Linked DNA regions of Tamandua tetradactyla. The protein of the gene in region 2 interacts with the protein of the main gene of each other region in a pairwise test. Links are inferred from orthologs where the notes say so. Each region holds a gene or a part of one and is shown on either strand. Other genes may lie near its edges. The genes, in order: ENTR1, AP1M1, ZBTB43 and RUNDC3A.

The links.
Region 1: the proteins of AP1M1 (region 2) and ENTR1 interact in binary tests that used the Homo sapiens proteins (3 or more experiments, as listed by UniProt). The two-hybrid records come from large-scale screens. The link is inferred for Tamandua tetradactyla from reciprocal best matches to the Homo sapiens genes AP1M1 and ENTR1.
Region 3: the proteins of AP1M1 (region 2) and ZBTB43 interact in binary tests that used the Homo sapiens proteins (3 or more experiments, as listed by UniProt). The two-hybrid records come from large-scale screens. The link is inferred for Tamandua tetradactyla from reciprocal best matches to the Homo sapiens genes AP1M1 and ZBTB43.
Region 4: the proteins of AP1M1 (region 2) and RUNDC3A interact in binary tests that used the Homo sapiens proteins (3 or more experiments, as listed by UniProt). The two-hybrid records come from large-scale screens. The link is inferred for Tamandua tetradactyla from reciprocal best matches to the Homo sapiens genes AP1M1 and RUNDC3A.

The regions. Positions count from the first base shown.
Region 1 is NC_135328.1:125,956,796-125,964,055, reverse strand, and holds the start of ENTR1 (endosome-associated-trafficking regulator 1), read left to right. Parts: upstream 1-4,203; 5' UTR 4,204-4,282; coding exon 4,283-4,352; intron 4,353-4,699; coding exon 4,700-4,849; intron 4,850-5,629; coding exon 5,630-5,698; intron 5,699-6,569; coding exon 6,570-6,685; intron 6,686-6,982; coding exon 6,983-7,260. Other genes in the region: PMPCA (mitochondrial-processing peptidase subunit alpha), read right to left, coding at 387-481, 1,682-1,764, 2,000-2,079, 2,607-2,809, 3,988-4,058. UniProt on the Homo sapiens protein: Endosome-associated protein that plays a role in membrane receptor sorting, cytokinesis and ciliogenesis. Involved in the endosome-to-plasma membrane trafficking and recycling of SNX27-retromer-dependent cargo proteins, such as GLUT1.
Region 2 is NC_135337.1:94,820,391-94,828,185, forward strand, and holds the start of AP1M1 (AP-1 complex subunit mu-1), read left to right. Parts: upstream 1-4,793; 5' UTR 4,794-4,925; coding exon 4,926-4,967; intron 4,968-4,995; exon of another isoform or gene 4,996-5,371; intron 5,372-7,795. Other genes in the region: protein FAM32A, read left to right, coding at 1,538-1,591, 1,821-1,889. UniProt on the Homo sapiens protein: Subunit of clathrin-associated adaptor protein complex 1 that plays a role in protein sorting in the trans-Golgi network (TGN) and endosomes.
Region 3 is NC_135328.1:49,227,369-49,234,480, reverse strand, and holds the start of ZBTB43 (zinc finger and BTB domain-containing protein 43), read right to left. Parts: upstream 3,005-7,112; 5' UTR 2,890-3,004; intron 2,761-2,889; exon of another isoform or gene 2,514-2,760; intron 1-2,513. UniProt on the Homo sapiens protein: May be involved in transcriptional regulation.
Region 4 is NC_135332.1:23,158,500-23,166,078, reverse strand, and holds the start of RUNDC3A (RUN domain-containing protein 3A), read left to right. Parts: upstream 1-4,535; 5' UTR 4,536-4,790; coding exon 4,791-4,897; intron 4,898-7,579. UniProt on the Homo sapiens protein: May act as an effector of RAP2A in neuronal cells.

The DNA.
Region 1 (7,260 bases), on a different chromosome or scaffold from region 2:
CTCCAAATCAGAGCAGGTAGGGAGGCAGCTGCAACAATCAGCACCATCCCATCTCCTGTCCACTCCTGGCAGGAAGTTCACGAGTCCTGCCATCCACAAGGCAATGAAGGGCAATGGAAAAACAAGATAGATAGCTGAGGAGCCTTTCTGAAATGAAAAATCCAATTTCTCAAGAAATGTCAAAAGTACAAGGAGAGGTGTCCAAGTTTTAAGGGCTCTCTCTAAAGGCAAAGGAGTTTTCCATTCCTCAGTGTAATTTCCCATGAAATCATGCCAACTCACTGTCATAACTCACTGTCATAATGTAAACTCAACTCCTCCAATAACCAAGAATGCTGTGCTTCCACCATCACCCCCGGTCCACCTCTTATGTCCCAGGTTCATACCTGTCAGTCGGGATTGCAGGACCACATCAGCCAGCAAGCCAACCACAGTGTCCAAGCCTTTTATGTTGGCAGACACAGCATACATGGTGGTGTCTCTGGAAAAAAGCAACAGCACTGGGGACTGAGGTCCTACCGGGACAGGACAATTACATCGTGTTAAAGACTTGCACACCTGTGGGTGTCCTTTATTACTTTTCATTAAGGATCAGCATTCTCAAGTCTTTTCCTATTAGTCTTACAGTAAAAATCCCTAGCAGGCAAGAAGCATAACTGCATACAGGTAAATACCTGAATAAAAGACTCGTCAAGTCAAAATGCTAAAGAGCCAATTCTGAAAAAGATGTATGCAACCACATGCTTCCAAAAGATAAAATGTTTCATTCTGTTCTTCCTTGGTGTTGATGAAGAAACTGGCGGATTAATATGGAAAGGTGTCTGGTCTCAGATGGCAGGAGAAACCTGGGGTACCATGTGAATGGAGGTTTTCAGCTGAGTGGGTCAGAGATAGTCCAGCACTGGACTATGCAGAACAGACACCACTGGCACATGGGAAGGGGTGAGGCCTGGGAGCTGGGTGCAGTGGGGAGGCCTGGGACGGAAGGGGGATTTCTGGACCTTTCCACTGGAGGCCATTCTTAGTGTGGCTGCAGGACCAGGTGGAGGTAGAATGGGGGTGGGGGGGAGGATGGGAAAGGAAGACGGGAGAAAAGCAGGAACAACAGCTTGAGCTACAAGTGGCTGAGGCCTATCAGAGGAGGTAAGGAGCTTGGAGCTGCGTAGGGGCAGCTGGGGCCAAGATTTTTTAACAGACCTGTTTAAAAAGGTGACCATGTTGCCTCCACGCTAACTTCTAACTTCAATCCTTAGCACTTTGTAAGTCTTTTATATGTAATTTCTTTGTATGCAAAAAACTACAGCAAAGCATTCAAATTAAAAATAATCCATAAATCATGCGCCCACCTCATACTGTCCTGACAGAGCTTTCTGACAGCTCCAAGCCAGGCCTGCAAAGACCCACCTGCCACTGCCACAGCCTCTACCACCCCCCATCCCCCAAGTCTGTGCTCTAGCTACACACAGCTTCTTGCTGCCCCTCAGCAGACCACTGCCTTCCCAGCTCTGTGCATCTTGCCCACCCAGCTCTCCATTGCTCCAACCAGTCACCAGGGCCCCTTCTCACTGTCCACCTCCCTGACTTCTCCGACAGTGGGGCTCAGTGGCACTTCGGCCAAGAGGGAAAAAGACAGTTCAAAGTGGAGGCAAAACAAGCTTTATTTTAGTAACAGCTATTGTACCTTGATGTCTGGCAGTCGCAGATACCTCCATGTTTCTCTAATGTAAGCAGAATTTCATCTTTGCTGTTAAATCGAGCAGTAGACTGGTGGAAATAAATAAGAGAGCCTAAATAAGTTATCCAAAACAATCCCTAGAAAACAGTTTTTAAGATGGAAATTTACTTTCCCTTCTAAAATACATACAGTCAAGTTATCTTTTAACTCAAAGGTTTTTAAATAGCATTAACTTAGCAACTTAATCATTTATTAAAATAAAAACCACCCTTAAAAAGGAAAGCTTCTTCCCCAGTCTCAGAATATCATAAATCAAACACTTACCGAAAATGCCAATTTTTCCAGAAAGTGAGCAATTCCACTAAGATATTTTGCTTCATATCTTGATCCTGAATTAATAAGAACTTGTAATAAAAAAAGAAATCAAATGTCAAATCAAATGTTCAAGACAGAAGATCTCATCAAGAGAAATCTTTTTAAATTGTGAAAGAGCTTAATAACCAGATTTAATTATGGAGGTGTGATAGTTATGATCATTATCTCAATTGTAATGCTAAGTTTCACAGGTGCATATGTATGGCAATGATTATTTGATTATAGATATTAGTAGTGTATGGTCTGTATGCCACTTATACCTTGGCAAAGCTCTTTAAAAAAGAATTTATTTTACATTTTTCTGATAATACAGTGATGTATATATCTGTGGCAGAATTCTTTCAGAATTATAGAAAAGTAGAAAGGGGGAAAAAAATCCACCCTAAATACCACCTACAAAAATGACCACTGTTCCTAATTTGGTTACTAAGTTTTCAGGTTTTACAGCATGCTTTCACTCACAGTACAATTCGTAATTAATACAGAAATTATGGGTCACTGTTGACTGAAACATACACCCGTTAAAACAAATGAAATCACCCATAATAGTACTTACTTCCTACTGTACAGAACTGTCCAAACTTATTTTGGGATGCCACCCGAAGCCCATTATCCAGCGTGGTAACTTTGGTTTCAAATTTTTCCTGTCCATCGACTGTAGCAAAAACAGGCTTGGGTATTCCAGGTAAGGGAGAAGACAGGGGGATGTTGGGATAGGTACCGCCGCTACTAAACTGTCGGTATGCGGGGGCTCTGAACCTGCGGCAGAGAAACCCGCCCAGTTACAACAGAAAGACTCAGACCCGGGTGCCTGTGTATCCTCCTCAAAGGAGAATACAAAGGATCAAGGGTACCATGTCTGGGCACAAGTCATAGCTCAGCCATGGGACCTAAGGCCAAGTAAATTGGTAGATATAACGCAGCCAGAACAGCACTGGCCTAACGGCCTCAATGAACTCTGAAAAACCGCACTCTATTCCCTGGCTAGGGAGGCCCTGCATGATCTGGTCTTGGGTCCCCTCTTCAAAGTCATCTCCTAACCACCACCCCACCCACCTCCCTAGGTTCCGGTTATGTTGATCATTCGGTCAATTCCTGGAACGCTCTGTCACTGTCCTAGGGTCTGCCTTGCTCTTGCCTGCACTGTTCACATGGCTGACCCTTCTCTCCTCCTTTGTCCCCTGGCTGAAATGTCATCTTCTCAGAGAGACACCTTGAATGATTCTATCATTCTATATAAAATTATTCTCCCCTTACTGTCACCGAATGCTGCTTCTTTACTTCAAAGCACTCATATCTTTGCTGAGACTCTGTTCACTTTTTAGTCTGTATCAGCTTCTAGAGGACAGTTAACTGTTTCTGCTTACCACTGCACCCCTGCACCTAACACAGTGTCTGCCATACAACAGGTGGTCCACACATAGTTGTTGCCCGCATGACTGTGCCAGTAGGAAACAAAAGGCTGACTTGGTCGCTGGGGTGGGAGAAGCGGGAGGAGTTGACCGGGAGAGGGTCAGCAATCAATGGGAAGCGCATACAACACAGGAGCCAAAGGCACAGACTCTGGTGTCAGTGAGAACCGCGAATCTGGATCTAAAGGAGGGAAGACTGCTCTGCCTTGGCCTCGTAAAGGAGCACGCGGCAGGTAACGGGCACAAAAGATGGAAAGGCCTCGGACCAGCCTCTTCGGCCGGAGGGGTTAGGATGAGGGAAGACTCAGGATCCGGAAAGAGGAGGCGCGGATGGACCTCGGGTACCAGGCTCGAGACACAAGGCGGGAAAGCGCCCCCATCGCCTGGGGGACGAAGCTGGTATCTCCCAAACAGAACCCGTCCAGTCGACGCCGTGTCTGGACGCGAGGAGACCGGAGTCATTGCCGTCGGAGGAGTTCGAGCGGTCCCGACCGCCCTCCGAGACCCGGTTCGCCAGCGGCTCACCTCAGCCGCGAGCGGCCCCAAGAAGCCGAGCCTCGCAGCAACCGCCTCGCCGCCACCACCACAGCCGCCATCTTGTGCCTCCGCCCGCCACTTCTGTCGTCACTTCCACTTCCGTCGCCGGCGGGGTTCCGGCGCGCGCTTCCGGTCGTCGGACGGGAAGCAGCGGCCAGCGGCACCGAGGAGCAGCGGCGGCCGAGGGGCGGGCGACGGGGGCGGGCGACGGGGGCCGCGGTTCGAGCGGAGCCGAGGCCATGGAGCCGCCGCTGCCGGGCTAGGCAAGGCCGGGCCCGCGGGGATGTCGGGCTACGCGCGCCGTCCGGGCGTCACCCCGCTCTCCCGAGCCCGGAGCCTAGTCATTCCGGACGGTAAGCGGGGTTGGGCCGGGCTGCTGCCCAGGGAGGCCTGGGGGACGGAAAGCGGCTGGGAGGGTGGGGATGGGGTCGGCCCCGGCCAGCAGCGCTCAGCCCCCAACTCCGAGGACCCCGGAACCCCCGGGGCGTCATGCTGCACCCCGAGTGCCTGCCGCGGGGTCCAGGGCCGGTTCGAGGCCGGCATGCCGCCTCTTACCTTGAGTCGCGACGGCCTCCTCCGCGCGTGGGGTAACAGAACCTGCTGACCTCACAGAGTCATGTTGAGGCCGAGGTAAGGTAATACGTAAGGCCCCGGTGCAACCCCCGGTCCACCGTAAAGTCGCTCTTATTGTTACTTACAGCTCCAGCGTTCTATGAGGGCCGAACTTGTCTCCCCCAGCTAGACTGTGAGCGCCCCCATGGCAGGGACCTGGACTCCCACTTCTTCGGCATTCGGCCGACGTTTATGTGTTATGTACCCAGTCCGGTGCTAGCTTCAGTGGGAGACACAGGTGAGAGACCAAGGCGCCAGCCTCAGGGAACCCTCCAGTTGTTGCATTGCCTGTAGGTAACTGTGCTGTAGTGCTAACAGCCATTTGCTCAGCAACGCACACTCGCTGTGGGCCAGTGTGCCAGACTCACGGTTTTCAAAGAGGAAGAATGTCCCCGCGCACTAGGAGCTCACAGTCTAGTTTGGGGAGACCAATTTAGGTACACAATCTCAATCCGGAATGATAGGTGCTGTAACCGATGTGAGCCCAGTGGAACTGGTGGAGGGACAGGGCACAAGGCCAGGGAGCCTCTGTGCAATAGACCCTGTCTGGAAAAGAGTTAGTGATGTTTTTGGTCTCCACAGCTGGGCAGGTCCCAGTTCTAACTCCCCCTCCCTCTTCCTAAGCAGCTAAACTGCCTGACATCCAGGCCATACAGGGAGGGTTTAGATAAGATTGAAGGGCAGGTTGAAGGTGGGTGTGTTAGAGTCTGAGTAATGGTAACACAGAGAAGGGGTGGGGTTGGGGGGCGCTGTGTGCACAAGACAGGCAAACACTGTACTTATCCCCACTGGGAGTCAGAATCCACTAGGGAGCATTTTTTTAAATTACACATGCCAAGGCCCACCAGGCCAGTGAAAGTCAGAACCTGCAGGGTCAGGGCCCTGGGGCTTAGTTTTTAAACAACATCCTTGGGTGATGAGAACCACTGCAATAGAGACTCCACGTCAAAACGTGAAGACATAAATTTATGGTCATAACGGTTTCCCACAGTCATGGTGGGGTGACGTCTTTTTGCAGATTTTGGCTATGGAAAGGGGAAATGTACTAAGCAAGGTCCATCAGGAGCCCACGAGACACGTTTTGGAGGTAGAGTAGTTTGGTAATCCTTTCTTTTTCTCTCTGTCCGACATATGATGTGAGGCACACTTTAGGTAGTGGGGCTTTTGGCTTGCTAGGGAATTAGTGGTGGATCTGGAGCTGGAAAGAGCAGCTGGGATATCATCCAAAGGATTCAATCCTAATCTCATTGTAGAGGGAAAGGAGGTGCAAGGGCAGGAGAACCTGAGATTTGGTGACAGAAAAGAACCCTGGATGTCAGGGAGGGTAGAGAGTGACATCCAAGAGGCTGGAGGGACGACAGGGACTGAGGTCAAAGATGCTGGCTTAACATGGTGCCTGGCATAAGGTTACTACTCAGAAAGTAATCTGTGGATGGCCCAGCTACAGTGACTGGTCAGGCATTTGGGGGCATGGGAGACACCTTGGTGAGGGAAGGGAGGGTTGGGACAGATGCAGGTTGGTGGTTAATTATGCAAGAAGGAGTGAGGTAGGACAGTGATTCCCAAACTTTGTGCATCTGAGGTGCTTTTAAACCTTCTGTTGCCCGGGTTGCATGCACCCCAGTTGTCAGGACAGGGGAATGGGGTGGGGTACAAAGTCAGTATTTTTGACCCTGGGTGGGTCGAGTGTGCAGCACAATGTGGGAAGCAAGGAAACTTAAAAAGGGAAGGAGCAGAATGTAGGGTGAGGAGGTAGAGCTGTTTTATTGCCCACTTTTTTGTTTGTGTTCTACTTTTTAGCGTCACCCAAGTTACCATGGGATATAAGGACTATTTCTGGTTCTAGATATGCTTGCGCTCTGGAAAGAGAAACTAATGGGAAGGTTCCCTTTTAATAACCTTTGTTGACTTCAAACATTTGCCTTACTGTTTATTATTTTTTGGTTTTTTTTTTTCAGATGATAAACTTGAAGATCTTGAAGAGGCAAATCCATTCTCCTTTAAAGAGTTTCTGAAAACCAAGAATCTCAACCTGTCAAAAGAGGACACGACCAACAGTAGGATTTATTCAAAGGTAAATCTAAGGAGTTGTTTTTAGTGCCTGTAGATAGAAAAGATCTTCAGAGAACATCTCTTTTCTGGCTCACAGCATCCTTTGGAGGAGGCAATGCATGAACTGCGAGGCAAAGCCCAGGTGCTAATGCCATTTGCGGTTTTTGTGGGGATAAGAAGTAAAGCTGTTTGGAGCCCTCTGGGGATCTCCTTTTTCCAGTAGACCCGGTGAACCCCTTTTTTAAGGGCTGGGCACATGACAAAAAAAGTACAACCTCATTACTGAATCAGAAGCTCTGCATCCTGCTTTTTTCTTTAGGAAGCCACGAGGCACTCACTGGGGCTTCAGCACAGCTCCCCAACAGCCCAGACCATGGGGTATGGCCTTGAGTACCAGCAGCCATTTTTTGAAGACCCGACAGGGGCCGGCGACCTCCTGGATGAGGATGAGGATGAGGACGATGGATGGAATGGGACCTATCTGCCATCGGCCATGGAGCAGACACATTCGCTGAGGGTTGCTGCCAGCGCCTCACCCTGTAGCACTTACGTGTCCTTCTTCTCCAACCCATCGGAGCTGGCAGGGCCCGAGTCTTT
Region 2 (7,795 bases):
AGTGAGAATAAGTGCAGGATTTGCTGTGAAGGGGACAGAGTAAAGGGATGGTAGCTGGAGGTGGGGTAGGGCCAAGGGAAAATTATTATCATCATTTAAATGGGATTTGTTTGATTGGGGGAGGGGGGAGGGAGATGAGGCAGGTGAGCAGGTGGGGTGGAGGAGGTGGGCAGTGCTTGGAAATGAGGTGGCCCTGTGGGAGCCTGTCAGGTGATCAGAGTGACTGAGGAGAGGCTGGACAGCCCCCTGGCTTCCAGGCCAGGTGGAGGGGGCAGCAGCTTGGCATCTCCATCCCATTTCCAGCTGCATGGCCTGGTCCTTGATTCCTCCATCTACAAAGTGGGGGTACCAACAGCACCAGGAAACCCAGCAAACTTGGCTACAGGAGGGCAGAGTCCAGCTCAGCACCTGCTATTGCGTGAAAGCTGGTCTAGTTGCATGGCTTCTTGTAGGGGCCTGGTGAGAACAGAGTCCAGCTTCCTGTGGGCTCATGGTTGAGGGGAGGGAGACGCAGGGATGGGGCAGCGCAGACACCTCGGAGGGAGGAGCACAGGTGGCAGCTGACAGCACTGTGTTGTTGTTTCTCAGCCAGGTGGTCCTGCAGGTCTGGCCTGGGGTCTCGCGCAGCCAAGGGGCAGCTGGGGCTGAAGCCCTGGAGGCCCACGGTGACCCTCTCACCACTCACACATCTGCCCCGAGCACAGCCCCACGGCCCCTCTCTCCCTGGGCTTTCTCGTCCTGTAGGTCCGGAAAGACCTGCATGGTGGGTGGCTTCCCAGAGTGCAGCACTGCCCATGCGTCTCATGGCGCCATCCCAGCCCAGGCACTGCTTTCTGCATTATTGCCTTCTGTTGTGTAAACTGAGTCACGGGGCCAGGCCCGAGTCCACGTGGCAGGAGCTGCATGAGAGCATGAACGCCGCGAGGCGCGATTCCTGGGAAGCACCCGGGCGAGTCGGCTGTGATCGCCACACTAGCCAGTGTGGGAGCCAAGCACAGCCCGGGGCCTGCCTGGCCCTGCAGGTACTGCCCCTCAGGTTTGAAATTGTTTTGGAGTCGGTTAAGGTGCAGGACCTGTACCCCAGAGTCACCTCTGCAGTGTGATCGTGGTAGCCGTGAGGACAGCCAGGCGCTGTGACCGTATCTGAGGCTGGCAGTCATTTGGGCAGCTCCTTTGGCTGACCCCTTTACTGTCCTCATTTCTTGTCCTTCCTAAAACCCGGCTGGGATGACTGTCAGTGTCACACCCTCTGGGAAGCACACGTAGAGGTGCCTGCAGGGCGGCCACTGGTGGGTGCTTGGTTGATGTTGTGTCCTCTTCTGCCCCTCATGAGGCCTGGTACAGAGGCGACTGACCCAGGTTCCCAGTGGTCACTGGAGCTGGGCTTCCCCTTCGGACCTGCCTGGGTGAAGGTGAAGGAGGGGGGCAGAACGTGCAGCCTGAGACCTTCAGCCATTCCAGGCTCCCGTCCTCTGTCACATGCTGGCCAGGCTGAGCTGAGCTTGTGAATTCACTTCCGTTTCTCCTTTCTCTTCAGCAAATGGAAAGGATCCTGAAGAAAGCATCTAAAACCCATAAGCAGAGAGTGGAGGTGAGTTGGGTGCTGGTCCCAGCTGGGCCCGGAGTCTGGCAGAGGGGGCCTGGGAGTGTTGGTGGGAGGGCAGTGACCGGCTCGTTAGGGGGGACCCCAGTGTCCGGGCTCTGTGAGACCTGGCCGGGTGGGTTTGGGAGGAGGGACTCAAAGAGGAGAGATGGGTGTGGGACAGGCAGGGCGGGCCTGAGGTCTGGGCTGAGACGAGCTTGTTCCTTGGCTCTCCCAGGACTTCAACAGACACCTGGACACGCTCACGGAGCACTACGACATTCCCAAAGTCAGCTGGACGAAGTAGCCACCCGGCCCCCGCAGTTTCAGGACACATTCTTTTTCCCACACTCTTGCATTTCTCTGTTGAGACAGGGCTTTTCAAGGCTTGGATACCTTCACTCCGGAACTCATTAAAACGAGACTGTCCTTTTGCTCATTTTTGTTGGCTTCTCCGTAGCACAGAGAAGATAAACCTTTTTTTCCTGGACTGGAAATTTTTAAAAGTTTATGCAGAGGTGAGGGTGATTTCTGTAGAAGTACCACGTGAAAATGTTGCGCCTCCCACCTCCCTCCCTGAATTGCATCCAGCCCCCTGAGGACAGCCAGCTGGCTCTCTCTGCCTGGATAAAACCACCTCCAGAGAAGGAACTGATGCCAGCATGGACCCTGGTGGGCTGCCCTTGGAAGCTCCCTTAAGCTTGGGCTTGTGACTTTCCATCTGGGACCCTGGGAAGCTGTGCAGAGCTCATGGCCTTCATGCTGCCCCTCGGCTATCTTGCCAGCTGGATAGCTCCAGCCTGGGAAGCAGCCACCCAAGGGGAGGGTGGAAAGACTGCCTTGTCCCTTTCTGTGCCAGTGCCCCCATTGCAGACACTGCTAATGGGTGTTGCCATGGTATCCATGGCAGACACGGCTAATGGATCTCACCACTCTTTGTAATGGAGCCCAAACCCTGACTCGCCCCGCAGTCCCTTATGTTTGTTCAGAGTTGGCATGGGGCCTGGAGCCTGGTTGGCATTTCCAGCCTCAGGACACCTTGGGGGTGACAGGGCCAGGCAGAGTCCTGGGGCCAGCAGCCCTGGGTGCAGTCAAATGGGAGGACCCAGGGGCTGGCGCTGGCGAGCCAGGACCTTGAGGGTCTCCGTTCACCAGACCAGGATCGCCCCACGTGCTACTGGGGAGAAGTTGCTGTTGGGGTAGATTTGAAAGAGTAACAAAGTGACAAGAGGAAAACCAAGTGTTGGGCTTGGAGCCAGCATGTGTGAACTACGAAATAAAGCAAAGTCCACTTATTAAGTGTGAGTCTGCGGGTCTGAACTCCGTGCCATTTGATTACCACTGGGGATGCTGCTCCAGCAGGATGGTAGATGGTCCAGTTAATCACAGTCAGTGGATCGCGGAAGAACTGCTGCAGATGTGGCTTGAGACAGCAGGGGGTTCTCATCTCCCCCTTCTGTGGGTGGACTGTGCCTGTTTGGGCCGTTCTCATCCATGGGCTGGGGTAGTTTAGGTCACGCAGTCACAGCTTGCTCAGCTGGGACAGGAAAGTGCAAGATGGCATCTTTGTCTTCCAGCATCTGTCTCTCTCTCCCCCCACGTATTTCACTGTCCAGAGAAGGACACGTGGCCACACCCCGAGCATGTGGGTGGGACCTCTCTTAGCTGTGAGTGGCAAGCAGCCCCCACTGTTGGAGTCCACCATGGCGGTTCTCAAATTCTGTGCGGTAAAAGCCACTGATGCCTGGACTCCCAGCCCCGAGATTCTGATTTCAATTGGCTTGGGGTGGGGGACCCATCTTTGTGATTTTTCAAAGCTCCCCAGGTGTCCCTGATGCACAGCAAAGTTTGAAAAACCCGGGTCTACAGGTTGGGTCTTTTCTGTGACACTGCAGAAGTCTTATCCAGCTAGTACATAAAATAAAACCAAGGGTGAAATTCAGATGTGACCCAAAAACCCCCACGTAGGGAGAAAAGGGGGTTACAGGTAATTTGTTTACTGAGAAAGCGTTGATTGAGAGTTACTCTTGGCACCTGGAGTCTTTTATTTCCTCAAAAGACTTGTCCCATCACTTGCTCCCAGTCCTCTTGATGCTGATTTTGAACATCTAAACAATACCGACAGCAGGCCCAGAGGTGTTGTGTTCACCTCTCCTTGGTGATCTTTTTTGTCTTAATTCCTTTTGGCACTTCCCCAAGTTTTCCACAGTGAGCACGGACAGTTTGGTTAACAAAAAGACTAAAACACACACACTGTAATAAACTGGGCAGAGTATGAGGCCAGGTATTTCTTGCATTTTGGTCCCTAACTTAAACTCTTGCTGAACAGAACCCTGCTTTTCTCCCTAGGCAGCAGACAGGCACCACCCTGACATCTCATCACGTTCCTTTCAGGGCTCGTTTGCCAGACATTTGGTGCCCCAGCCCCTGTCTCGGCTTCTTGCTACACCCTTTGTGCCAGAAGGTTTGCAGGGTCCTTAGCTGTCTTCATCCAGTTTTCTACTCTGGATTTCCTCACACATCTCTCTCCTGAGCAGAGGATATAGAAATACACTGTGGCAAGAACCATCCCTCAAACCCCACTTAGAAATAGGGTAGAGACAAGATATTTGACAGGTGGGCTGCAGGGCTGGCTCTCCAGGGCAGTGTGGACGGTTTACTGGGGTGGAATGCAGGCATGACCCCACACCCCGAGTGTTCCTAAAGCAAACGGAATGTGAATCAACTGATCTGTCAGGGACCACAGTTTGCAACACTCACCATGGCCACTAACCTGCACTTAATGCAAACACGTATGTACTTTGTGTCTGTACTCCGAGGGGGATGGTTTTCACTAGGTCACTCCAGGACTTAAAACAGGCACAAACGAGGTCATGGACGACAACTGAGACAATGACAAGTAGTGACTTCCTAAGGTTTCGCTCCCTCTCAAACTGTGCATTTCTTAGTTTCCTAGACTTCCTAAGGGCTGTGCGCAGGGCGCTTCCAGCACCTGAAACTCTCACCTGATTCGGCGCACGGGTTGGGGTTTCCAGCTGCTCTGGGGCCGTCGTCCAGCCAGGCCGCTAGAGGGCGCCCTGATTCTTCAGCCCGCCGCTCTGGGCCTCACTTCCCGGATGCTGGAGGCGGGAGCCGGAATCAACGTATGCGCCTGCGCACACCCCGCCCTACGCCTGCGCAGAACCAGCAGCTGCTCCCTGACCGGATATAACGGTCCCCGCGCGGCGCCCGGGACCGGAAGTGGAGGGGAACCGTCGTGGGGCGTGCCCGGTCTTCCTCAACGCCCGGCAGCCCCCGCCGCCGCCGCCACCTGAGGCCCCTGTCGAGGCCTCCGGTAGCCGCCATGTCAGCCAGCGCCGTCTACGTGCTGGACCTGAAGGGCAAGGTATGGAGGTTCCCCACCCTCACGTTGCCAGGCAGCCGGCGGGGGCCTCGCCCAGCGGGGACCCACCCTGTTGCTAGGTAACCAGCCAGCGGGCACCACCCTAGAGTCAGGCCTGGAGGCCGGCGGCCCTCACCTATGAACCCCACCCTGTTACCAGGTAACCGGGCGGTGGTCTTGGGTCTATGGGCCCCGCCCTGTTGCTAGGCAACGCGGTGGGCCGCTGCCGTTGCCGAGTAACCGGCAGCAGGAAACCGACACGATCTCTCGCGCGTCTGGCGGCGGGGCTCAAGCCTCGGTTGGGGGGCACCCGGCACCCGGAAGTCGGGGATATGGCGGGTCTGGCCGGCTTGGGGAGCTGGGCCCCGCGGCTATGGTTCGCGCGACCCTTGGCCGGAGGCGGAGGCGGGGCGGGGACAGGGCACCCTCGGCCGGTCTCGCGCTCTCGGAGGCAGCTGCAGGTTTTTCTCCGGCGCTTTCTCGGGGCCTGTCCCAGGTGGAATTACGCCACGTGATGGAGTACGAGGTTTAAGCAAGATGGGAAAGTCAGGCATAGAAGTGAACAAACATGACGTTACCCAAGCCCCAGAGAAGTGGCCGGTCGACTTAGAATGGAACCCGGAGTCATCTGTTGATTCAGCTGAGCTAAATGTCAGAGAGGGTGCTCAGACTTGGAGCAAAGACGGCGGTAGCCGCCGTCCTTCTGGAGCTCAGTCTAGTGGGGGAGGCAGATGTTAGTTCCCAGAAGCACCTATCAACATGGATTGGGGTAGTGAGGGTATGTAATGAGAACCTGGGAGTTAGTCACAAGGAGGACCTGGGAGAAAGCTTCTCACAGAAAAGAGGCATTGAAGCCTTTCAAAAGAGCTGCTGCCTTTCCCCACGTACACCCCGGTGAAAGACTTCTGAAGTCAAGAGTCACGAGAACTGGTCCAGGGTCAAGTATGACGTCAATCAGTGATAGAAATGTGGGTGTCAGGTGCAGGGGCTGGGCCAGAGTTCACGCAGAAACACATGGGAGTGAAGAGGTGAGGTGCCTGCCCCTCCATTCTCTCTGAGCACTTTTCCTGAAGTCACTTTAACTGGGCTTGCCTGAGCTGACCGCCTTGGATGCCACCCAGAGTCAACAACTTGTGGATCCCGTGGTTGGGCTTCCTTCCTTGGCTGACCCAGAGGCAGGGAAGACAAAGCACAGCTGGGGCTGGCAGGGGCAGTATTCCCTGACTGCCTGTAGTACGAGCCCCCTTGTCACCAGCAGTGCCAGCAGGCTGCCTGTTTCAGCTGGCTCATTCCTAAAGCAAATGTTGTGTGAGCATGCAGCTTGCACCAAGTCCAGTGCCAGGGTCAAGGGACCCATTGGTGTGACTACCTCACTGTGGCTGAGGAATTAGGGCTGAGCTGTGTGACCTTGGGCAAGTGCCTTCTCCTTTCTGAGCCTCGCTTTCCTCGTTGGTCAGGCGAGTCTTCATGGGGTCACTGCAGACTCAACAGAGTGAATGTGAATGTATGAGATGGGCTCAGCCCCCCCCCCCCCCCGTGGACTTTGCTGTCTAATGGGGCAGGGGTCACATGTAGGAGCAGAGACATCACCACATAGTCGGGTCTGGGCAGCCACAATGGCAGGGACATGCCCAAGGGAATGTGGTTGTCCACCTGTTCTTTGGCTGGCAGGAAGGGAGAGGTTTAAGAGGCCTGTGGTGGAGGGGAGATGCTGGGGCTGGGTTTGGAAAGATGAACCAGGTGGCAGTTAGGTGAGGAAGTGTCCCAGTGGAGCTGCCTGCTAGGGCTGCAAGCCAGAAGTCTGGGCAACGCTGGAGCCCAGAGCCTGGTTCTGGGAGGGCCGTGGGTGGTGAGGATGGCCAGGCAGGAGTGGAGGTGGGCAGCTGTCAGCACAGGCAGCAGAGCCTCTGCAAGACGAGCATTTCAGGAGGAACACGGGGAGACTCACCTCTCGGGGGGCTCCCCGGGCCACTGCGGGTCCCCTTCTCACAGCCCAGGCGCCTGGTGTCATCACTCCCTGTGGACCTCACAGTTTAGAAGTTTGCCTCCAGAACAGAACGAATTTAATCAAGAGTAAGTCAGTGGCACATGAAGAAGTTCTCAACCATGCATCTGTCTGCAGGCCAGGCCTTGGACCCCAAAGTTACCAACCGTGGCTGGGGAAAGCCCTCCAGGGACACTTCGCCACCTTCATCTGACTTCCTCAGCAGGACCGCTCTCCCATCCAGACCGCTTCCCTTGGTTTCTGGGCTGTGCCCTTTGGGTCTCCTTCTGTTCTCCTCGCTGTTCCTGGCCAGCCCCTTCTGTCTGCCTCCCCTTGGGTGACGGGGCCCAACGGGACCAGCCTCCGCTACCTTCTCGCCCTGGTAGCCTGTTAATTACCCTCAGATTCACACCGCAGCTCTCACCCTGTCCTCCAAACTTGGCCTTTTCCAAAACCAGCTCCCCATTGTACCCGGTGTCCCTCTCAGTGGGTGACACTGCTGCACATGCCAGATACCCAGACGTCACGCCAGATACCCAGACGTCACTCCAGCTCCTTTTCCTCCTCCCCAGATGCTGGCGAGCCCCCGCTGTGGGCTGGGCATGCTGCCCGCCAGCATGGGTGAGGTGGCGTGATCGCTGGTCTCAGGGAGCGAGAGGCAAAGACACGTGAATGCGTGTCGGCCTCGGTGACGATAGGGTGGGGTGGTGGGGAGGCCTCTGGGAGGAAGTGTGTCTGCGCAGAGGTGCAGGGCCAAGCCTTCCAGGCAGAGGGAACTGCAAGTGCCGAGGCCCCGTGCCAGGGGGAGAGTAGGGAGAGGGGCGGAGGGGCTGGGAGATGCACGCAG
Region 3 (7,112 bases), on a different chromosome or scaffold from region 2:
ATTTTTAAAATTGACTCTTTAAGTTGAAATAAGTTTAGGTTATCAGAAAAGTTACAAGGATAATGCAGAGTTCTGTATTTTCCTCACCCAGTTTCCTTTAATATTCACATTTTACATTATTATTATCAAAACTAAGAACCAACACTGGTAAATGCCTTTGTAAGAAATCAACAATCATAAATGCTTTTATAATTCTGCAGAATTCAAATATCCTTCAGAAAAGTGTCTTCAGTCTCCCAATCAATGTATATATCAGTACTCTTAAATTGTCTCCAGTAAAAATTATTTCAAGATTTCTTTAAAAGAAAAGCCAACTACTTTATGAAGTCTGATTTACAACTCCCTTCAATTTTAAGCTACAATGACTGTTTTATTTAAAATGTCTAGTGCAAAAGTTCCATTATGGTAAACTCTTTGGAACTCAAAAGAGAATGCATTATACTATAGCCCTCATTTAACCCAATACATTACAATAAAGCCAAAGACATGTTTTTATTTGCACCATTATATTCATTAGATTTCAGAATAAGAAGCTTAACTCAAGAAAACACAAAGCAGGAACAGCACTTATTTCATGAAAATTATTAACTACCTACTAACAAAATAAAAGTTTTACCCCAACATGTTACAAACAAGACAAAAATCTATTCCAACTCTAACTGCAATATAAATAAGGAGAAAAGAAAAAATTTATGAAAAGTGATACAGAAAAATATTCCACTGATTCTAAGAAGCACATTTTTTTCACATTTTAAAATTTCTGAAATATGGTTGTAACAGCAAGGAGTCAGTTTTAAATAGCTGTCAGTGCCTGAGACTATGACAGAGCACTCCTGAGAACCTCAGCAATATTTCTGATGGCACAAAGAACAACCCAGTGTGGAAAAACATGGGTGTAAATACTGACTCTGAATTTAAAAGTATTCAGAAGATTTAGACCTGGATGTTAAGAAGCTTAATGATTACCTTAACCAATTTATCTCACTTTAGACATTCTAAAACATTAGAATAATACTGTTTTGGAATGCCTAAATAAAGTACAAATAAATTTATTTGGAATGTCTAAATAAAGGTGTTTTTATAAAAATAAAATAAAATAAAAAGCCTTAACAATAAGAAATCATTATGCCATAGCTTAATTAGCAATGCTTTCTCTTTCTTGGTGTTTCAATAAGTTATCCATCTAGGATTCAATGAAATATGGTAGTAATTCAGCTGCTATGTCTTATAAGAAAGCTTGATAAACTATCTTAGGGGCAAAGTGATAGCTTAAATAAAAGAATATAAAACAAAGGGCTTCCCCATCAGAAAAACACAAGAAATAATACTCAATTTTGCATTATGATAATTAAAATAATATTTTTCTAACCCTATGAGTTTTCTTCATGCAAAATTTTCCTCAAGTTTCCTGCTTACAGCAGGTTCTTTCACTAAACCAAAGGAAGCTGAAGGGAGGAGAGTCAGGGCAGAAATCTGTTTTTGCTTTAATTAACCTCCTTGCCTCAAGACCTTTGGTGGAATCCTCAACTGTATTCACTGCTGTGCCCTTCGCTGAACACTGAACCTAAAGGTAAGTGCAACTGAATATTTCTAAAAGCTACAGAATGAGTTTTCAAAAAGCAGAATTTAACAACAGAAGAGCTTGTTAGTTTCACGACTCTCCCGTGAGCAGTTCTGTAAAGCAAAGAATGAACTCTTAGTAGGTTTTAATAACTGAACATACTGACACAATCTCTGAACTAAACAAGAAGTTCTCCCAGAAATCCTGCTACTGTTCTAAGAGCCATTAGGGCAGAGAAACTGAGTTTGGATCCTTCCTTACTCTGTAAGAAGACCTGGTTAAGAAGTTCTAACTCAAAGAGCAGGCTTCTGAGGGATATCTGGATGGGTCAGAGGGATGTGGAGAACTGTACAGGCTTGAAAAACCATGGGCAAGAAAAGGCAAGGAATCATCAAGCTGCTGTGGCCCTGAGATGGCCGCCTGCCTGCCCACCACACGCTCCTGTTCCCTACAGTTAGTTGGGCACCACCTGTCAGAATTAAGGCCAGACTTGGCAGAGTCACCCGTTAAAGTCACCAGTACAGGGAGCTTTACGGGATCATGAGTCACCTTCCGTGGCTCAGAGGTCCAGGCAGGCCTACTCCACCCCGCCCTACCCAGTTAGAAGAAACTGAAACAAAAGAGCAGACATAGACATTGGGAGAAAACCAAACCAAAACAAAACAGATGGCCAAAGGGATGGACTGACAAAAACAGGCCAAAAACGAGGGTAAGGGCTGAGAGGCAAAGACAGGTTCGGGAGACGCAGATGTAAGGTGGAGGCAGGGTCCAGATACACATATATGACCTCGAGAAAGACAGAATGAAGGTAAACATAAAGTTGACAAGGACCAAGTTTAGCGAAAGCAAAGGCAGGTGACAACAGGTGACAGACATTGACAGAGGTGGAACCCAGGAGACAGGGACAAATCAGTGAAGTCACGGAATAGCCGTTTTCCCGGCCTTGGCTCACCAGACGTCGCAGATTGGGGACTCGAACCTGAGGGAGACAGGCCACGCCCACCGGGCGCCCCCGCAAAGCCCGCGGTCAGACGGGGGCGGGATCTCTAAGCGCTCGGACCCACCGAGCTCGGTGGTAGCAGGGTGACCTTGGGTGAGACGCTGTCCCGGGGCCCTACGTGTCGCAGTTCGAGCGCCGGTGGACGGCTGGAGATCACGAGAGTTGGACCCAGGCAGCCAGGCCGCCAACCGCCCGCGCGCGGCTTCAGCATCCCGGTCGGCTGAATGGGCCCGACAGGGTGAGCGCGCCGGGCCCGCCGAGAAGCCCTTGAACATTCCCGGCTTCCCTCACGCCCCCCTCGCTGCCCGTTGTCCTTACTCCCCCGTACCTATCAAGGGGTTCGCGCTCACATCGCCCGCCCGCGGGGCTCTCTCCGCAGCCGGCAGCCGGCACCCGGACCGCTCGAGTTGTCGCTGCCGCGACCGCCTCAGCCTGCACCTCCCGCCCCCGGAAACGCTTCCTAGTCCCGCCCCGAAACTGCCAGTGCTTCCGGGAGTGCGTCCGAAAGACAGCGGTATGCGCATGCGGGGCTAACGTTCAAGGTGGAGCGTTGAGGTAGCCTTCCGGGGTATCATGCGCCTGCGCTGTCTCGGCCGGGAGCTAGTTAATCAGGGCTCCAGTCCCTGTGTGCGCCTCTGGGAATAGGGGCGCCAATATCAAGTCTTCAAACGCTTTTTAATGCCCGACACATCTCTTCTAACAGACTGTGTTAAATCTTTGCCTCCAGAGACCCCACATTAGTACACAGTAGGTGCTCAATTAATGTTCAGTCACAGGATCCTTGTCCTCAGTGTGGCTCGCATTGTGTTGGGCGCCGGGTTCGCTTCCTCTACGCTCCGAAATCCCCTTTTCCAGTACTCCCTCCGCCCCTCACAACATTAGCGTAGAAGAGAAGACTTAAGTGGTAGGACTCTTACTGCTTAGAGACCAAGGCCCCTCATTACCGAAGAGCTCGTCCATATTAACCTGAAATCTAGGTCTAGGCAGCTGCAGGGATTTGGTCAGAGTGGTTTCTGGATTTGGGCTGGATACTTAGCCAGGCCGGGCCAGGCACGCCGCTTCAATTTTATTTCTGTCTTAACTCAAACTGCCCAATTAACCAGCTGTGCAGTGTTGGACCAATTTGAGCCTCAGGAGAGTTCGATCCCCTTTTCCATCAGTGCAGCATAAAGGAGCCTGAGCCTTTCTGAGAGAATTCACCAAAAAGATTCTAGGAAACAAAACCAAAGAAAACATATATTGAGGCACAGAAATGGGGACGGGTACAGAACAACTTGTTAAAGGAAATTCTGCTTCAAGGGTATATGCTTCAGCCTCTTAACCGTTCCTACTGTGGCATACACCCTTAAACCAGGCCTCCAAAAATTCTCACAGATCGGGTATTGTAGTAACTCCTCTTCACCTTTTAGCCACCCTCCTCCCAAGAAAAACCTCATTTTGTTAAGGTAATAGAGGAGATCTCTTGATCTTAGGGAAGGTAAATCTTCACCCCACCAGGAGGAGATGATTCACAATTCATGTATCTCATTCATGAGAATCTCATTCTCATGAACTAATTAGACTAGTGTGTCATGTGACCAACTTCTGGCCAGTAATAACTTAGCAGAAGTCAGGAGGTGGGAATTGTGGACATGTTTTATAAAGGTGGGATGAGGACTTCTAGTTCAGCATGGCCTGTTATGTTCTTCTTGCCTTTACTCAGACAGGAAGGCTGAAAGTTCAGTCATTATCATGTGCCTATGAAGTGACAAGCCAAATACTAAGGCCAGAGAAGGGGAAAGAAAGACTGAGAGGCTAGGTCTCATTAGACAATAAGCTGTAGTTCCAGCTTGCAACTGCTTTCCCCAAAAATGTTTTACTTCATGAGCTACATAAACTTCTTGCTTGGACTTCTATTCTAGCAGTAGTGTGTACTGTATATCTCTAAATATTCCTGCAGCAAAATATATAAAATTGCTAGAAGAAATATTGAAAATATCCTCTAAATGCGCGAATAAACTTGCAAGACAGTCAGGAAAATCATCTGAGGCCAGGAAGAAAGCAGGAATACAAACCTAGGACAGAAAGATTCCACAGGCACTGCATGCATCTGTTCTGATGGTTTGTGCATGTGCTAGGCTTGGAAATCATCTCTGGAGAAAAGTAAACACTAATGCTGCTACCAGATACAGGAGCATCTTCCTGGGTCCAGGCAGGATGAGAGCCAAATCAAACCATTGGGTTGGGACCTAAGAAAGAATACATCCTTAAGGAAAGGATAGACTAGAAAAAAATAAAATCTGCCCTGCAGAGGCAGGTAGCAAGAAAATTTGTTCTGCTTTGGCTCTGAGTGGATGGAAAAAACATTCCTCTAGAGTATTCATGACTAAGGTCTGGCAATAACACTGATTTAGGGGATAAATTCATACTCTTTGCATGGTCCTAAAGCCCGCATGCTGAGCATTTGAATTTAAAATGGATCTGGATGGGTAGTGCCTCTGGCACTTGGCCAAAGCAAGCAAAAATCTCTCCTTTTTTTTTTTTGTGGAAAGAACTCATTGTTAACCCAGATCTCAAAGAATTCCTACAGATAAGAGTTCCAAAAGAATATGAAATCACAATTAAAAAATCACAGAACCCATGAGAAAGTAGAGAAGACAAGCAATAGAAGCAGATCCATAACAACTTTAGATATTAGACTTTTAGAAGCAGAACAACAACAAAAAAAACTTATTAAACAAAGAGGCAACTAAAAACATGAGTGAGTTTCAAGAGATTCTCAAAAATTATCAGACAAAATGTTAAAAAGAACCACATAGACATTAAAGACATTCCTATTATAACAGTTTAAATGTATAGCTCATTGGAAGGGTTACATACCAAATTTGATACAGCTAAAGAGAGATTAGTGAACTGAAAGATGTATTTAAAGAAAATAACCCAAAATACATCCTACTGAGACAAGGAAATGGAAAAAAATGAGACGATTAATGTGCTTATCAGGTATATTAGGAGGAGATAATAAAGTGAATGTGGGCACAGAAATTGTCAAGAATGATAGATGAACATTTTCCAGAATTAACAAAAGAAAAGAATCTTCAGAAAGTGCAATAACTTCCAAGCAGGATAAGGAAAAGGAAACCTAGAACCATTGTGGTGAAACTGTAGAACACTAAGAATAAGAGATGATTTTTTTTTTGTATACTGTACAGCGGGGTCACATTTCATTATTTTTCATGTGAGTATCCCATTATTGCAGCACCATTTGTTGAATTTTTGTTTGCTTGTTTGTTTTTTGGGAAGTGCATGGAAAGGGAATCCAACCCAGGTCTCCTACATGGCAGGTGAGAATTCTACCACTTAATTGCCCTTGCACCCCCAAGAGATGTTTTTAAAGCACATAGACAGAAAAGATAACCTACAATAGAATGACGATGAGATCAAATCCTGACTTGTCAATGGTAATAAAGAAAATGATAACAGCATGAAATAATACCATTAATGAAATAATAGCATTATGATGAGAGAAAATAACTGTATGCCTAGAATTGCATACTCAACAAAACTATCTTTCAAGAATGAAAACAGAATACTTTTCAGATCAAGTTGGTAGTCAACGCTACCAACAAAGCTTTTTTTTTAAAGATTAAAACTTTCCTCTTCTCCCCCTTCTCAAAGTATTCAGTATGACACAATTGTAAATAGTAAAGTATTACTCCAGTGCTGTGTGTTCACCCCAGATGTGACTCCCATTTCTTCCATGTTCACACCCACCCTTCCCACTTTATGTACAATACATTCACCACCAACAACAAAAGCTACCTTAAAAGGCAACAGGAAAATTCTCTAAACTGGACCCAGCTCCAAACACATTAATAGTACAAGTAGTGAACTGTACCTTCCTTCCCTATATATACCTGAGTTTAGTTGCTCATGAAAGTTTAAAAATACCACTCCATTCTTAAGTAGGCCCCCTCCTCAGTTTAAAATTATTTTCCCTCTATGAAAATCTCAGGATTTGGAACAGTAGCCTAATTCCACGTTCACTTGTTCTTTTTGAATGTCTCCATTAGCTCTGCAAGAAAGTCCTGACCCAGGACCTTTGGGACCTATGTGCGCTCATCTAAGGAGTGGATTCTAGGGCCCCACGAATGTCTTCAGCTCTTGGATGGCATGAAGGAAGCACTGTGAAGGATGGAGGGAATAGGAGTAGTGATGGGCAAGGATCACTTCCCCAAATTCTCCATATTCTTCATGTGCAGCTTTCCATGTCCTTGGGGGTTATATTTCCTCCTTGGACAAGCTCGGATCCAGAGGAAGGGTTAGGGGTTTGTGTGGTGGCAGCTCTTCCTGTGATGCTATTGGAGCCAGGGTCTTTAGGAACAAGGACTGTGACTGTACAGGATGCATCTGCATTCCTGACGGTCTGTACGTTTCCTGGAAAGGTCCCCTTATCCCACTCCCAGTGCCAATCTGTTCCATCATTACAGCCTGAAAGTACTCCAGGCCCTCCTCCTGGCAGTAATAGATGGGGCCCTCCTGTGGGAGGCTTTTGGATTGGGCAGCCACTGG
Region 4 (7,579 bases), on a different chromosome or scaffold from region 2:
CATGAGTGGACATTTACTCACTGGTGTTTATGGCAGCAGTATTCCTGATTTGCAATCCACTGATGAAAGGAAGGGTGAACTGTGGTGTATACATACAATGAAATATTGAGTAGCTGCAAGATGGAATTAATTTGTGAGGCATGCAACTAGGTGAATGGACCTTGAAGACAGTACATTGAGTGAAATAAGCCAGAACGAAAAGGCAAATATTATAATGCCTCACTAACACGGACTAACAATAATGTACAAACTTGGAAAATTGAATCGGAGAGCATAAGTTATCAGGGGAAGTCTTATTGTAAAGATTCCTAAATTGTAAGCTTTTACAGCACACACATCTGTTCCTGAGATATAATGATTACTTCTAAATTCTGAGATACTGAGCTCTTTGTATATAACCTGGCTGTCCCCTGGAACTTTGGGTATCTGCTTGACACCTGTGGCTCAGCGCTAGAGTTTACAGCTATGAAAGTCATTATTACTCAATACAGCAACTGTTTAAAAATGAAAAAGAGATCAGACATCAATAAGAGATACGAATGTGGCACTTCTGGTTAAAACTAAGGTAAATCAGAATACAGTATAAAGGATGATAGTGACCATGTTTTAAAACTTCAACTTCTGTGTGAGACCAAAGGGAGAGATGTTTATTTGGTGCAAAATTTATATTTTCTGTAGCACACTATCTAATTTAACTTGTACGGTCAGTTTATTTGAACGCCATAATTACATGGAACTTTGAATAAGGAATGTGATCTTGTTGGTTTGTACAGGTTAGTGTTATGTCCCGACACATCCCAGAGTAATCTGGGCAGAGAATAAAGAAGTAGTTGCAAAGCCCCCTTGAGGGACAGGAAAAATGTGGAAATATTTAACTTCCCCACTTGGGAGTTCCTGATGTTCTCACAAGCATGGGGGACTACCAATTTAATAGGCCGAGCCCTCAATCTTGGGGTTTGCCCTTATGAAACTTATTCCTGCAAAGGAGAAGATAAGCCTACTCATAATTAAGTAGAGAACCTTTCTTGTTGTTCAGATGTGGCCTCTCTCTTGAAGTCAATTTGGCAGGTAAATTTGCTGCCCTCCCCTCTACATGGGACATGACTCCCAGGGGTGTAAATCTCCCTGGCAGCATGGGACATGACTCCCAGGATGAGTCTGAACTCAGCAATGTGGGATTGAGAACGCTTTCTTGGCCAAAAGGGAAAAGAGAAATGAAACAAAATAAAGTTTCAGTGGTTGAAAGGTTTCAAATAGAGTCAAGAGGTCATCCTGGAGGTTATTCTTAAGTATTACACAGATATCCCTTTTTAGTTTTTAGTGGATTATTATAGCTAGAAGGAAATATCTGAAACTGTTGACCGTGTTGCAGCAGCCCTGATGCGTGAAGATGTTTGTATATATCTATATAGCTTTTACAATGTGACTGTGTGATTGTGAAAACCTTGTGGCTGACACTCCCTTTATCCAGTGTACGGACAGATAAGAAAAAAAATAAGTATAATAAATAAATAATAGGGGGGGATAAGGGGCATAGGATGTTTTGGGGGGCTCTTTTATTTTTATTTTGGGGGAGTAATGAAAATGTTGAAAAATTGTGGGGATGAATGCACAACTATATGATGATGCTGTGAACCACTGATTGTGTACTTTGGATGATTACATGGTATGTGAATATATCTCAATGAAACTGCATTAAAAATAAGATGTTTTCTGGGGTACACATGCTTCAAACCATAACACCCTCAGATCAGTAAACTCTCCCTAATCCAGCCTTCTATCCCACCCCCTGATCCCAGTCCAACACCCTCAAGATCCACCCCCAAGTATAATAATTCCTTTCCCCCCATAGCTGGGGTGATTCTTTTCCACTGGGTCCCTGATGAGACTTGACCCTTGTCATTGAGAGGAGTCAGGGTCAGCATCAACGTGTGAGCCATTTGCCTCAGATGAGGATATTATTGTCACCCAGAGATGGATACCGTTACTATTGGGACTTTGCATCTCTTTTTTTAAAGAAGGGGGAAGAGCATCTTCGTTTGAGTGAAGGACACGCTACATTGTTAGGCAGGGTCACGAAGTTGCTATTGTCCAAATACGGGTAGAAAGGTGGGTATGGGTGCTGAGTAGACAGGGGGTGGACTGTGCCGGTTACTTACTTATTACCATTCAGCTCCAACTTCATTCTTCTTTTCTCTGCTTTCTGATGCGGGGTGGAACATCAGATGCTTCAAACTGGTTTCCCAGATGCCACGGCTAGCTGGCCTTCTAGTTGGTTCTGCTAACAGGAGGCACGAGGGAGTGACTGGAAGGCAGGAGGAAGGGGGAAGGGACTTCCCATTTTTTCTTGCTCATATTCCTGTCATTCGCTCATCGGAAGTCGCCTCCAGTCTTCAGCTTCTTCTACATTCCGAGAACCAGCCCTGTAGCTGCTCCTCAAAGGAATGAGCCGCAGCAGGGTGGCCTGGCCCAGAGTCTGAGCGCCAACTCAACAGCATCCCTCCACCAAGCTCCGAGATTGCTGTGACCTCATCTCTTCCCTTTTGTTCCCTCAGCCCTCGCTGCTCCCTTCAATTACTAGTTTGGGATGTCTCTGTGTTCTCTCTCTCTTTTTTGCTCTTTTCGTCCTCCAACTCCTTTCCCCATACTTTATCCTGTCTATTTGAAATTTCTTTCTTTTTTTTTTTTTGCACGGGCAGGCACCGGGAATCGAACCTGGGTCTCCAGCATGGCAAGTGAGAACTCTGCCACTGAGCCACCATGGCCCTCTATTTGAAATTTTTAATGTGGTTTCTATTTTTGTAACTAGACTCTATTTGATATGCAAAATTACAAAATTCATACAATATGGCTCTATTACTATAAAATTGTAAAGCTGGCCACATTAACCTACATAGATAAGAAAACTATAAAGAAAAGCAATGAAATAAATGATTATCACAATTGTCAGCATAGCATTTGCCTCTTGAGGGAACAGATGAAGATGAGATATGAAAGAGGCACAAGGGAGCTCCCAGGGCAGATAGTGTTCATTTTCCTGACCTGAGAGGGGGTTACACAGATGTTTGTTTTGTAAATATTCTTTAAACTGTTCATACTTTATTTGCTTTTATGCATATGATATATTTTGCAATTTAATAAAACAAAAGAACATCAATGCTGCCGCTAGCTATGGGCTGGAGGCTGGATGATTAGAAGGGCTTCTAGAGAGAGGTGAGGCAAGAGGAGGAACTAAAAAGACCAAGTCTTAGGTCCAAGAACTCAAGAATTCTGACTCCCTTGCTAGGAGTCAGAACCCTCTCCCTAGCTCTCAGGGAGCCAAACAAGGGTTGGGAGCTTCTAAGTCCTTCATTTCCTTCTCCTCCTTTGTTGGTGGTAACAGAATTGCTGTCTGCTGGGTGAGCATCTAAATCAACGCAGAGACTCTGGCTATAGATTAGCAGAATAGAAGCAGGAATGTGAATTAGGTGGGTGGCAAGAGCTGGTTAATGAGCTGAGCCCTGGGATGGAAGTCCCAGAGGTTGGATGGAGAGAAGGGGTGCAGCCCCTCCGATCAGCCTAGAAAGGCTTTGTTTGGTAGCTGCCCATTCCAGTGCCCGAAAGAGGAACCGGCTGCCTTACCTTAGGCAGATTGAATAGAGAAATAGAGAAATGGAGCAGCTGGAAGCAGGATGTGGGAGACTAATAGAGAGGCAAAGGGTAGCAGGGAAGCAAGACTATGCTCCATTTCCCCACCTACTTGGAAAAGCTGCAACCAGCTTTGCAGGGCCCTGGTGGCCTTGCACCGGGATCAGTGACTCCATTTAGAGTGGGTTGACAGCATCCTGCAACAATGTTGGCAGTCAAAGGGTTAACCCTTAGCGCTGCTGACTCGGGTTGTGTGAGGGGGTAGGTCTGAGGGAAAGCCGTGCCTTAACTGCCACTCCCTCCAGCTGCTGTGGCCCCACAGTGCTGGGAACATCCCCAGAGCCTCGGGACAGTCCTGAGCGGTTCTGGATTCCCATCCCCCACCATTGGAGTAGTTGGCTCCACAAGGCAGACCGACAAATCAAGCACGAGTAGAGGGACAAAACGACACGCAGTCCCTCTGATCGTTCCCTAGCCTCCAGGGTCAGCCACCTGAACTCTCGGATGCAGCCAGTGCCCTGGTCTCAGAAGGCCGATGCTGAAAGGGGCGATGGGGTGGGGGCGGCGCTAGAGTGGGGTTACCGGAGGTGAGGACCTCCATTCCCCAGACAGCAGGGGGAGAAATCAGGGACAGACACTAACAATTTCTGGTCAGAAGCTTAGAGTAGAGGTGTCGGAGCTCACAGACGCGGGACGAGGAGTCCCGGGCTCTGAATGTGGGGGCGGGGGACAGCCAGTGGTCCCCCCTTCCTCTCTCCAATCCCTGCCTCTCCAGGGGACCCCCTCCGACATCCCTGGGGCCTCGGCCCTTCCCCTTTCACCACCAAACCCTGCGTCCTCGGCGGATTGGTCCCCTGCTTGCCGCGGGGCGGGGCCCGGGGGTCCTGACGTCACCAGCGGGGGGGCCGGGCGGCTGGGGGAGGGGGTGACAGGCCCCGGCTCAGCACCTCGGAGAGCTCCCTCCCCGGCCTTGTTTTGCTCTGGTGTCACCGCCGGGGGAGGGAACGAAGGGGCCGGGCGCCGGGCGCTGAGGCTGGGAGATGACCGTCGAGGGGTCGAGGGGCCCCGGCGGGCAGAGGCCCCAGCCGTGAGCCGGCGGGGGAGCCGGGGCACCGGGCGGGGTGGGGGGCAGCGGGTGGCGGCAGCAGTAGCCGCACATCTGGATGGAAGCGAGCTTTGTCCAGACCACCATGGCTCTAGGGTTGTCCTCCAAGAAAGCGTCCTCCCGCAACGTGGCCGTGGAGCGTAGGAACCTGATCACCGTGTGCAGGTGGGCGCCGTTGGCGGGCGGGGGGTGGGGCGCTCCGGGAGCTGGCTTGGGGCGGGCTGCGGAAACCCGGACTGAGCGTGCCCGCGGGAGCAGGCACCGCAGCCGAGTGGAAAGGAAGGGGATCAAAGGGTTAAAAAGATTGCCACAGCCCCTCGCAGGTCCAGAATGGGGAGGGGGTTTGGAAGTCTGCTACCTACCCTTCTTGGCCAAGGGCCTGAGGGGGAGGGGGTGTTTTATTGGCATTGCAGCTTCCTGCGAGAACCAGGAAGTGACATTGTGTGTGAGGGGGAGGGGGGCCTGGCTGGCTCCGTTGCTGGGGTCGGGTCGGGGTGGGGGGTTTGTGAGGTGGGCAGAGGAGAACTGAAGGGGCATAAATGCCCAGAGCCTGGTCTCCCTGCGGTGGAGCATTGTCTTGGGACTTTGCTATCCACAAATCCTGGAGCAGGGACTCTGTGCCCTCCTCTATCTCTGGGCAGCTGCAGCCTGTAGCAGAGTCGCTTGGAAATGTGGGCAAAGCCCCCAAATCCATCCAGTGAAGGGTTAGAGCTGCTGTCCCTACCAAGGGAAGGACCAAGGGCCCAGCTACAGAAGCCTGTGTCCCCTGGGCTCGAGGGAAGGAGAAAGGGGACAGGGCCATCGGTCTCTAGATGGCCCTGAGGGTGGGGCTGTCGCAGTGTTAGGGAGATTTGCCTGCCTTCTTGGGGCCCAGGAAGTGGTCTTTCCCACTTCAATCCTGCAGTGACTCACCCTCCCCATCTTTCCCTGGAGGCAGGACGTGCCCAGCCACCCAGACAAACTCCCTGCATCCCCCACCAATACTTGCCTCTCCCTCGAGGGTCCCCATGCCAGCTGCCTTCTCCACCTGCAACCTCTCCTGCCGTCCTGCTCCCAGGCATTGGGGAGTAGGCCCTCTCAGGGCAGATGGTCCCACATGCAGGGCTCAGCTGCCAGCCCTAGCCGCCTGCACACTGGTGCCCTGGCCCCTGGCCCCTACAGCTCCCTCAAGGTTTCTGAGCACACACTCAACCATTCTGCATCTATCTCACACCATCACATCCTTAGTGCCCAGCACAGTGCTGGGCAAATCAGACCATCCATAAAAACACCTTGAATGTTATGGAGGGAGGGAGTGCAGCTATGGCCTGGCCCAAAGTTCAGGCCACTGCCTCTACCCTCACACACCACCACCTCCAACCCTGCCAATGTGCTCTAAAATGAAGACTCCTGCCCTTGGGGCCAATGGTCCTCGGTTCACGCCCTTATATCATCATGTATTAGCTGTGCAGCCTTGGTGAACTATCCTAACCACTCTGGGCCTTGAGTGCCTTATCCCCATGCCTGGTACACGGGTGGGTATAACAGCCACCCCAGAGAATGACTGTGACAGAATGCAGCCCTGATCTGATGACAGCCCTCTCAACTTTCTCCTCACTCTGTACTCCCAGGTCCTTCTTCTTTCTCTTGCCTGTCAAGATAGCTGTAGCTCTCGAGTGCGTATGGGAACAGGGAAACTCCCCCTAGCCTGGGCTGGAGACGCAGAGGTTCTGGTGGTCTGGAGGTGGTCTTAGAGCACAGGAGTAAGCTGTACGGTTTGGGCGGAACAGGCTTGATAAAGACTCAGAAACCCCTCAGGCTCCTGCTGCCTCACTGCCATCACACGGTCGCCTCCGGCTCCCAGAACATGTAACAGGCCATGCATTCCCCTGGGCCCAGGCCTTCCCATCACCATGGTAACCCTCAGCAGGCACCGCATCTCCTAACCCAGAGCACACCACGGGGCTCCCAGGGGCAAGAAACACTCTGCAGCACCCCTACGGGCAGATGGCAGATGGCTGCCACACTGAACCCAGCCCCTGGCCTCCACCGAGGCTTGACCCAGATGACCAGAAGAAACTGGAGGAGGCGGGTTGGATAATGAAGTCCAGCTAATGCCTTAAACGCAGGCTCCTGCTCAACAGGGACAGCCTCCCCACTAATGGTCCAGCTCCTCTTGGCCTGCACACATTTACCTTCTCCCAGTCCTGTCGGGGATGCAAACCAATATTTAATGAAGCAGGCGCTATTATTCCTGTTTACAATGGGAAAATTGGCTTCAGAGAGATTAAGTGGCTTGTCCAAGGTCACATAGTATTACAAAAAAAGCAGTATTTGAATCCACCAGGCCTTCTCTAGTGCAGCTCCACCCTTACCTGGCTCTGATCTCAGGCCAGACCAACTCTCAGCCCAAAAGGAAAGGGAAGGTTCTGTGGGTTCAGCTGGACCATTGGCCTGAGGGCTTCAGAAGCCAATACTCGAGGGCTAGAGCCTTGCAGCATGAGGGCCACAGAGGCTGTGGCTGCACAGGGCCTTGGTGATCATGACAGTCCCCAGCAGGCTCCAGGAGGGAGCAAAAAGAGCAAGGGCTTTGGAATCAGCCACACCTGCTTGACCCCTCCCCAGGCTAGATGCATGACCCCGAACAGATCAACCTTTTGGAGTCTCAGTTTCCTCATCTATAAAGTTGAGATGATGATGATGATGATAAGAGACTCTACTTCCCAGGGCTGCTGTAAGCATTGGATGAGATAATACATGTAAATATAATGCTTGCCACACTGTAAGGGCTTATATACCTTGGGGGGGGGGTGACAGTTCTAAGCAGCCTGCATAACCCTGACACCCCTCCTGTTCTGTCATCTTTAC